Linked DNA regions of Drosophila melanogaster. The protein of the gene in region 1 interacts with the protein of each later gene in a pairwise test. Each region holds a gene or a part of one and is shown in the gene's direction. Other genes may lie near its edges. The genes, in order: CG9135 and CG13488.

The links.
Region 2: the proteins of CG9135 (region 1) and CG13488 interact in a two-hybrid assay, tested with the Drosophila melanogaster proteins (one large-scale study listed by BioGRID).

Annotation. Positions count from the first base shown.
Region 1 is NT_033779.5:6,048,986-6,054,564, forward strand, and holds CG9135 (uncharacterized protein), read left to right. Parts: upstream 1-1,853; 5' UTR 1,854-1,936; exon of another isoform or gene 1,937-2,082; intron 2,083-2,631; 5' UTR 2,632-2,692; coding exon 2,693-3,037; intron 3,038-3,094; coding exon 3,095-3,676; intron 3,677-3,736; coding exon 3,737-4,273; 3' UTR 4,274-4,892; downstream 4,893-5,579. Other genes in the region: IPIP (inositol phosphatase interacting protein), read left to right, coding at 26-361, 429-647, 1,089-1,363.
Region 2 is NT_033778.4:21,949,358-21,953,131, forward strand, and holds CG13488 (uncharacterized protein), read left to right. Parts: upstream 1-2,234; 5' UTR 2,235-2,269; coding exon 2,270-2,413; intron 2,414-2,486; coding exon 2,487-3,047; 3' UTR 3,048-3,205; downstream 3,206-3,774.

The DNA of each region.
Region 1 (5,579 bases):
TATCACACACCGATACGCCTTGCAGGCTTCCTCAACAAACGGGGCGAGGTCAACAAGGCCTTCCAGCGACGCTACTTCGTGCTGAAAGGCAACCTGCTCTTCTACTTCGAGTCGCGCTTGGACAAGGAGCCCTTGGGCCTCATCATTGTCGAGGGCTGCACCATTGAGCTGTCTAACGAGGTGGACAACTACTGCTTCGAGATCGCCTTCAACGGCAATCGCACCTACATCCTCGCCGCCGAAAACCAAGACAGCATGGAGACGTGGATGAAGGCGCTAACATGCGCCGGCTACGAGTATAAGCGCATCATCCTGGCCGAGCTAAAACGCCAGTTGCAAGAGATGGAGGACGCAAGAAACAGTGAGACTGCACAATGGCTAATCCTACAATCCCTGTGCACTAATCCGCTGCGTTCTTTAACCTACAGAGATGCTCGGCAGCGCCTTGGACGGACCACAAAATGCATCGGAGAGTGCGAAGCCTAGACCGCCGCCCAGGCGGACAAATCCATTCAACAGACCCGCTCCTCCTCCACCAGACAGTTCGCTGAGGGGCGGAGTAGTCATGTCGCCCCTGCCATTTATCAACGGATACTTCGGATCGAGCAACGCGCGCCTGCAGCAGGAGAAGCTAATGAGCAAGCAAGGTATGAACACGTACTCTTAAAATGGATGTACAATGCTGTGGGTATAGTAATGCAAAAATTAACTGAACGGAAGTGACCAAATTGAAAGACGAAATGAATCACCATGTTCGGGGCTTTGAGTTTTAAAAGCTAATTTTAAGTGGGAAACTTGGCCAATAGATAACCGCAGAACTACAACTTTGCCTAAATACAATCATACGGCATTTTTCGGCCCCAAAGCCAGCTGTTTGTTTGTCCCAATACAATGTGAGTCTACCGTTAGTAGAAGCTAGAGATAAGAGCAGAGTGCTCTCAGTATAATCCGAACTTCGATTGCCAGCTTATCGTTGCCATTTACCCAGAGCCGATCTAATTTAGTCAGCGGAATGCCACTAAGCGACATTCTCTGCAAAATCTGTTGCATATTCCCAAAGCCAGGCTACAGGCACTTTCTACTTGCAGACGCAAACGGAAACGGAAGCCCCAGCGGAACGCCCAGGGCCCAGCGCCGTCCCACGCCCGCTCCTGCCATCGCGAACAGCGTCTTCTATCCCGATGTCCGGGATCCGGGAGCGGCCAACAATAATCACAGCACCGTCAACGGTGCTGAGCGCCAGCGTCGCCAGGTCAAAGCACTGGAGGAGTTCGCACGCAACCACGAGCGCTTTCGCAGGGAACTGATGCCGGATGTGTCCGCTTACCGCGAGCGCCAGGGTCAGCCGCTCATCCAGTTGTGATGTAGGAGTGGGCTGCTCCGACAAAAAGCCAATGTATTACCCGTTTTGTGCTAAATCAAATACGTTTCAAATGAACTATGCTTAATTTCCATACATGTTTGTTTCAATAAACAAAACTTTAGATATAACAAATTTCGGCGATCATGGCGCACTCAGTTATGTGGGCATACTAATAATTGGGTTTTTTAGGTTATTTGTTAGAATTGAAGGACTAAGTTGGTTTTAAAGTTAAACATAATGTTGGGATTACTCAAATGGATAACTTAAAGAAACCTAATTTTTGGATGACAAAGTTCTACATATGAAAGAACAAAACTTTTTTTGTCCAAATGAATAGACCACATATTAATTGTTATTTAGAACATAATATTTTTTAAAAATTCGATAGACACAAAACCCAGTGTGAACGGCGAAAATAATCGATAACTGCTAAGAAAACAAAAACATCGACGTTGGTTGCTTTGTGGAAACATCGATAATCGCGAGCAGCCATCGATACATGTTCCAGCTCTGTAACCTAGCGTTGTTGTTTGTAATTTAGCTGTGAAAAGTAATTAAGCCGCACACAGAACTGTAAGTTCACCCGCTAGATAAATATATTTGAGTAAAAGAACACAACCCGAAATGGTTAAAAGACTGCAAGAAGTCAGCAAACTTATTTGATTCGTTGAAGCCGTGAAATGTCTCTGTGTTTGTAAAGTGACGCTACCATTTTAAAGGTGAATTTTGCGCCGGGCATTGTCTTTTCTGTAACTTCGGCATGGACTTTTTTAGTTTGAAAGCCAAAACTATGAACACAATGCGTAGTTTTTCGGGTATCAAGAACTCATTTATCAAAGGCTAGGAATATTCACTATATCTGTTGGCGTCGCTTGCTGCGGCTTTCATTTTGTTTCTGTGCAAAAACCACCACACAAACACAGGGTCACACAGACGCGAGCACAGCAAACACACACCACCAAGCGGCCGAGAGCGGCTTGGTTTTGGACCGTTTATGCGAAGCTGAGCTCATGAAAACCGGAATTACCGTTTTGAAAATTATGTTTAGTTGATATTTTGAAACACTATTTCCAAATATAGAAATACATAACGTAAAAACGTAACGTGTTTTTAAATTTAATATTACGACCCTTCCTACTTCGATTTCACGTATTCAGCAGTTCATGAAGATTAAAACATAAACACAGTGCGCGCTACGCTCTGCTGCGTGTGAAGTTTGGTTCCGGTTTTCAGGGCTTGAACTTATCTTCTACATTGCTCCCTTCCAGCCGCCGAGCAGAGAGATCCAGACCAGTCCAGTCCACAATACAACCCAGTACTAGCGAGAAAATGTCGGCCAAGCGAAAGGCAGGTGGCAATGGAGCCGGACCCAACAAGCGGCGACCCAAAAAGAAGGAGTCGGACTACGAGGACGAGTTCAGCGACGAGTCCGACGACGATGGCGTGCAGCAGCAGGCAGCGGCCGCCAACCAGATGGAGGTTCTCATTCCCCACGACGACCTCGACCCGCCTAGCAAGCTTCCCGAGGACTTGCTGGCCACGCTAGAGAAGACTCCAGGTCAGATGCTGATCGCCGGCATGGTGACCTGGGACCTGACTGGCAAGCGGGACCGCAAGAACGTCACGAAGGTGCGGCCGAATCTGTACAGCTTCCATCGGTTCACAGAAGAGAAGGTAAGCTATTCCGCACAGTCGTGGTCCACTTGATTTCTGAGTTCTTTTCTTTCGCAGTACCGATATGTGGCCAGCGGACCCAGTGCCGCACACACCATTCTTATCAACATGGACCGCAAGGCGCTCGGTTTCGGGCGTAATCCCAGCGGCCAGCTGGGCCTCAGCCAAGACATCAAGTTGGCGGAGAAGCCCACCATTATTCCGGCCCTCGAACAGCTGAACATAGTGCAAGCTGCTGTCGGCCGGCACCACACTCTGTTTCTCACTGACACGGGAACCGTATACGCCTGCGGCGAAAACAAGTCCGGCCAGTGCGGTGTGGGAAATACGCATGCTAACATTTATTCGCCCACGCCAATTAACTACCGAGGTCCGCCGATCATTCGCATCGGTTGCGGAGCTGAGTTCTCTGTTATTCTGGACATTAAAGGTAGCCTGCACACATTTGGGCTGCCGGAGTACGGTCAGTTGGGACACAATACTGACGCCAAGTACTTTGTCAACGCCAACAAATTGTCATTCCATTTCGAGACGTCGCCCAAAAAGGTCGTTTTGTACATAGAGAAGAGCAAGGAGGGTCATGTAACGCCAGTCGATGGCGTGCAGATAGTTGACTTTGCTTGCGGCAATAATCACACGGTATGTGGATAATCTCCATTCCCCACTTATTTCAAGTCTAAACTACATTTTTCTCTTCAGGTCGCCATCGACTCCAAGAAGCGCGTTTATAGCTGGGGCTTTGGCGGTTTCGGGCGTCTCGGACACGCAGAGCCCAAGGACGAAATGGTGCCGCGTTTAATGAAGTTTTTCGATACTCAGGGTCGGGGTGGGCGCAGCGTCTTTTGCGGCTCCACTTTCAGTCTGATCGTCAACGAGCTGGGCCTGCTGTTTTTGTTCGGACAGAATAAGAAGACGGGCGAGGCAAATATGTACCCCAAGCCAGTGCAGGATCTTTCCGGCTGGAACATTACCGACATTGGCTGTGCCAATACATCGATTATGATTTCGGCCGACGACACACTGATCGCTTGGGGCGCATCGCCCACGTTTGGCGAGCTGGGCATTGGGGAGTTCCAGAAGTCGTCGACGGTGCCCAAGGAGGTGCCAAAGTTGGACAACATTAAAATACCTCAAGTGACTATGGGTTACTCGCACACGGTGTTGCTTGTGGACACCACCCATGAGGCCACCAAGCAAAAGTACGAGAAGATGCCCGAGTACACTATCGATGATTAGGTGATTAGATGGTGTGCGGCTTTCCAAGTGCTGCTGCAAACACGTTTACCGCTGCCAACAACAATACTGCTCCATGTAGGAAATTCTCAGAACTGATCATCGAAACTCTGCTGCTACTTATCGAAAGTGAAACTAAACACAAAAATCCAGCAAAATGTATGCTATAAGTTAAAAGATTATTATTACGCTAAACTCGCTATCTACATACTATACGATAATCTCAGAAAACGGAAAAAAAAAGTTGATTATGTTTCCAAACTCTAATTTATTCTTGTAACTGATACTATTCCATCCTGATCCTGTTCCCCTTTTATAATTTATTGCCGCCCACCTTTAGGCTTAAAAAGATGCATAAAAAGCATGATTACCCATTTTTAATTTTTAATTTGTAATTTAAACGTAACAAGTTACAGTATTCTGCATTCATTTCGAACAGAGTGAGCAAAAGCAACCACAAAACTACAAAACACGTAAATTAACGAACTAAGCGCATAGGTTACATATAAAAAGTATACCATGGAAAAATCCAATACCAGTTGCAACTATTAATAGTACATCATGCATTTTAATCTTATACAAAGGAATATTTAAATAAAGAGAATGTTAGTATTTAGACTGCACTCGTTTATCACTGGCTTTTCACTGAATGGTAAACATTAAAGCTACTTATAGCTGGCACACATATTTCCTATCGAGCAGGAAACTTTATGGAGGTTTGACTGTAGAGCGGCGAATCTAAGAACAAATTGGAATCAAGGATTAGCCGCACTGGGGTAGCTGTAGGTCAGTCCGCCAAGGGATGTTTGGCGGTATACCCCGATTTCTGACCTGTGCCGACTGAGTTCCCAGGCCCAGTCCCAGTCCCAGCCTTGAGTCCTCAGTCCTGATGTCCTGCCGATTGAAAGCGAAAGTCAGAGTGCGGAAAGCTCCGGCGCAAAGCTCTCTCTCTCACTCTCTCGCCGAGTCTCTCTGCTCTCTCGCGCGCGAGGACTCTTGACTTCGGAGTGCGACTTTGCGGCCGGAGCTCCGGCGGATTTTTCCCTGACACAGTCTTCCGCCGTGGTCCTGTCGAGTAATGTGCGCCGCTGAGGAACAATCCCTGCACGTCGCGCCTTGAGTTTCATTTTACCTTTTTTTCGCCCCCACCCCACCCGACACTCATACATACAAACACCGACCGCACACTCGCACACAGACACACACACACACGCGCACATTTGACAATATCAACAAAATAGTTCGAGGAGTTTTTAAAGCGTTTTTTACAAGTGTACGGCGATTCATTCTGCACACGAAATACATATTT
Region 2 (3,774 bases), on another chromosome or scaffold:
TTTCGAAATATCTCTGGGATATTTTCAAACATGACACCTGAAACTTTGGCATACAAATTTATGAAAATATTTGCACATCCATTTCACGGCTTGAGGGATGGGAAGGCAACACCTTTTGGCTTCATTGAACTTGCAGCTTCGCATTACACAAAGCCCGAGGAGGAGTCTGCTACCGCGATACACATGCAAATTTGTGTACAAACTGAATCAATTTTTACCGCGATAAACTTCGGCTCCACCTTTTGCGGTGGAAAAGTGGAGAGAGCACCGGATTTTACGGCACTGAGGTAACTGCAAAATGTTGTGTAAAATTTGCAAATGCAATAAATAACTCGTTTCGGTGTAACGAAAAAAAAAGGATTGCTTCTGCTGTTTACACCCCCTTACAAAGGCATGTAGCGATTCCTCTTTTTTCGCTTCTGTATCCTTTTTTGCTCCTGTTTAGGGCTTTCATCCCCCCACCGAAACCAAAGCGCGCCACATGTGCGAGTCTGGTTGTACTTCCTGTGGGTTCCTTCCTCTTCGGTTGGAATACTCTATAGAAATTAGTTATGTTGAATAAGTTTTAAATTTAAAAAAAATTTAAAACCATTAAGGTACTTGTGTTACTCTCAGCTTTAAGTTCTTTCTGGCATGGCTAAGCAAAAGAAAATAGTTTTTATTTTCAAATGGTGTATGGTATAGATCATAAAGTATTCAATAAAAAAAGAAAGGGTATTTTGAGCCTAGGCAGAACGCACTATGCATATTATCTCAATTTTTGTTTCGCTCTTCTTGTTTTTTGGAGTGCTGCAAAGCATCCCCGAAAGTATGCAAATAATTTTTGGCCCCAACTCATATTTGATATTCAGTGTCAGTTGTTGGAAGGGTTACCGAATACAAGTTATTGAAATTTGCATGCAACGGTTGGGGAGTTGATAAAGGGGAAATGGTTGGGCGGAGAAACAGCAGGCGTTGTTGAGGCAATTTATAGCACTTGTGTTAGGCGGCTGTTTCGCCGGAGGCAAAGTTCTCGGTTATTGTTTCGCCATATAAAAGGCGCTGGGATTTCTCAGCCCCAAAGGACGTAATTGTTTAGCAGTCTTCGGGCTTGATGATGTTCCCTTGATTTTTTGGCTGCGGAATTCTGAACAATCCCAGGGACTTCACCCTTTCGCACAGATTCCCAATTAAGTTTAGACCGGTTCAACGCTTTCGCATCCATCAGGATTTGGATGCGGCACTGAAAAGTTACCATCGCAACGCTAGCCGCACAAAAAAAAAAAGGACATAAAAACGCTTTAAATCCCTGGAAATCGCAAAAACTACGCTAATAACATTGTCATATGGCGGGGGTGATGGTGATTTTTTTATTTCCCTTTTTTTTTGGATTTTTGCACTAAACTTCGCTTATCAAAGTTGAAATTGCAGTTCGTTGCTGAGCGCAGCGCATTGGGGATTTGTCGGCCACTCGAAAACTCCAAATGCGAGGCATTTATTGTGGGGCAGGGATAGAGGATTTCATTTGAAACTCTGATACGAACAATCGGCGTTTTATTTGCCATTTTGGCGCTCAGAGTTTCATCATCGTACGCCACTGACCCAGTTCAAGCATTTATCACAACGGCACACACACGGATACAGGCGATTGTCCTGAGGGTCTGACCCCAGCACAATGAATGACCCCCCATATCGCATCCTCAACCTCTTCCCCCATTCCCTACCCCTTCTCTTCCACTGCCCGTCACACTGCTGACTAAGTGGACTTTTATTTCACTGCTATTACGGCCCAAGCAGCGTATACGCAATGAATAGTTTCGCTGTCAAGCTTTCGCCTTTTTCTGCCGCACTCGCTGGCCATCTTCAGTTGCTAAGCGATTTAGATTTGGGCACATATCTCACCGCTTTGGGTGGGTTATTTGCTCTCTGTGAGAGATAAAGAGCCAGTGGCTAAAACTCTTCAGACGCTTGCCTGAATCGAAATCATTGTTAAATGCAGATAACTACTGTCTGGCCCCCGGCGGCGTCCATTCATAAATTTAAGTCCAATAAACCTCCTCCTATCACTTATCTGCCGGTTCTTCACCTACGAAACGTCATTGACTTGATGACGTCATGTGTCATCTTTATGAAATTATAAATAATTTATTTCCTTTGGACAAGCGCCAACCTTCAACATGGAAATTTCAGATAGATAAGACTATCTACGACTTGCTCTGTTTCCCAGTTTATTGAGTATTGAGTAGAGTATGTTCAGTAGACGAACGCCTTTCGAGGGAACAAGTCGGCCATGAGCTATCAGAATTTACTAGGTTTTCTACTCGTGGTGGGTATCGAATATACACGAAACATCGTTAAATTAAAACATACAACTGTACATTTAAAATCAGAACAAAAGCTTTACAGCAATAAATCATCCAACATGTGTAGCTTGGTTAATTAACATTTTATAACACTCAATTCATACTAACTATGGCTTGAATATAAATGCTTTCATATTATTCCAGCTGACCCCTTCTTTGATCAATACCTATGGAGATCGAAGTCGCTATCGGTTGTATTTGCAATCAGATTACGCTCTGCAAACAATCAGCACTCAGCTAGTTTCCCAGGCAATCGAGCTGGTGGACTATGTGGTGGAAGATCTGATCGTCTTGGACTCGCAGAACTCCATTCTGTTGGGCTACTTGGATCGCTTCGATGCCTTCACTGCCGTAAATGCGAATAAAACGGAGCAGAAGCTAAATGCCTTCTATGGCGTGATTGAGGACTATCTAGATTCGGATACCACGGGAGATCCACTGAGAACTTCCAGTATCGAGACCCAGTTGATTGCGCTTTGCTTGCAGCGCAACGGATTCGATCGATGGAAGCGCACGGTTCAGACCCGGACATCCCAGCTTCAGAAGCTGATATACCGGAAGTTGAGGAAGCACCTGGAGTCCATAGACAGGGAGGATCGTTTGGCTGTGGAGCGCAGGTGGAGGAAAATCTTGACTCGTGGCGGACCCCGAAGATTGGAGAAGCTGAGGGAATTCGTCAAATGGCTGGGAAATTTCAGAGATTAGAGTGCGGCGGCCCGGGTGAACGAATTGTTAGGCAATACGATATGCCGTTTAGTGATAAGAAGAGTTATAAACATTATTTATGGGTGGGTGGAGCAAGAGAATGTTTGTGGTTTAAATATAACCGGCCATGACCTTGAGGTATTATCAATGAAAGCAATATAAGAACGAAGTTTGAATTTGCATTAAGAATGTATTTTAGTAATATTTATTATTGCTATGTTAAGCAGTTCCTTGGCTAGAAAGTGGATGTTCTTTATAAAAGAAAACGTATTCATAGCATTTGTAAATTGAACATGTACCAACGCCTGGCAGTAAGAAAGTGCATCGAAGCTATTATCCTTTTGTGTCCTTGCACTTACTCCCCCTCGATAAATGCAATTTTAGCACAGCACGTCCCCTTCCTCATCACTCGGATCATGTATGAGGGCATTGTTTAATGCACTTCACAGCTGGAGGAAACTTTTTCCAGGCCCTGTGTCGACGGCAATGAAAACTTTGTCATGCCTGGCAAAGAGGATGATAAACTTGGGTAAAAATTATGAAACTGAATATGGAAGCGTTGGCGAAATTGAGACAGCAAAACAACAGAGCCAACAGACAGGCAAAAGACATACGAGACTTTTAGCCAAGCGAGGACTAAAACTGAAACTAAAACTGATACTTTTTATGGATGGCAAGTGAAAAATGTAGACAGTTGCAGAACGACTTTCCGGGCGGGGGCCAAAGG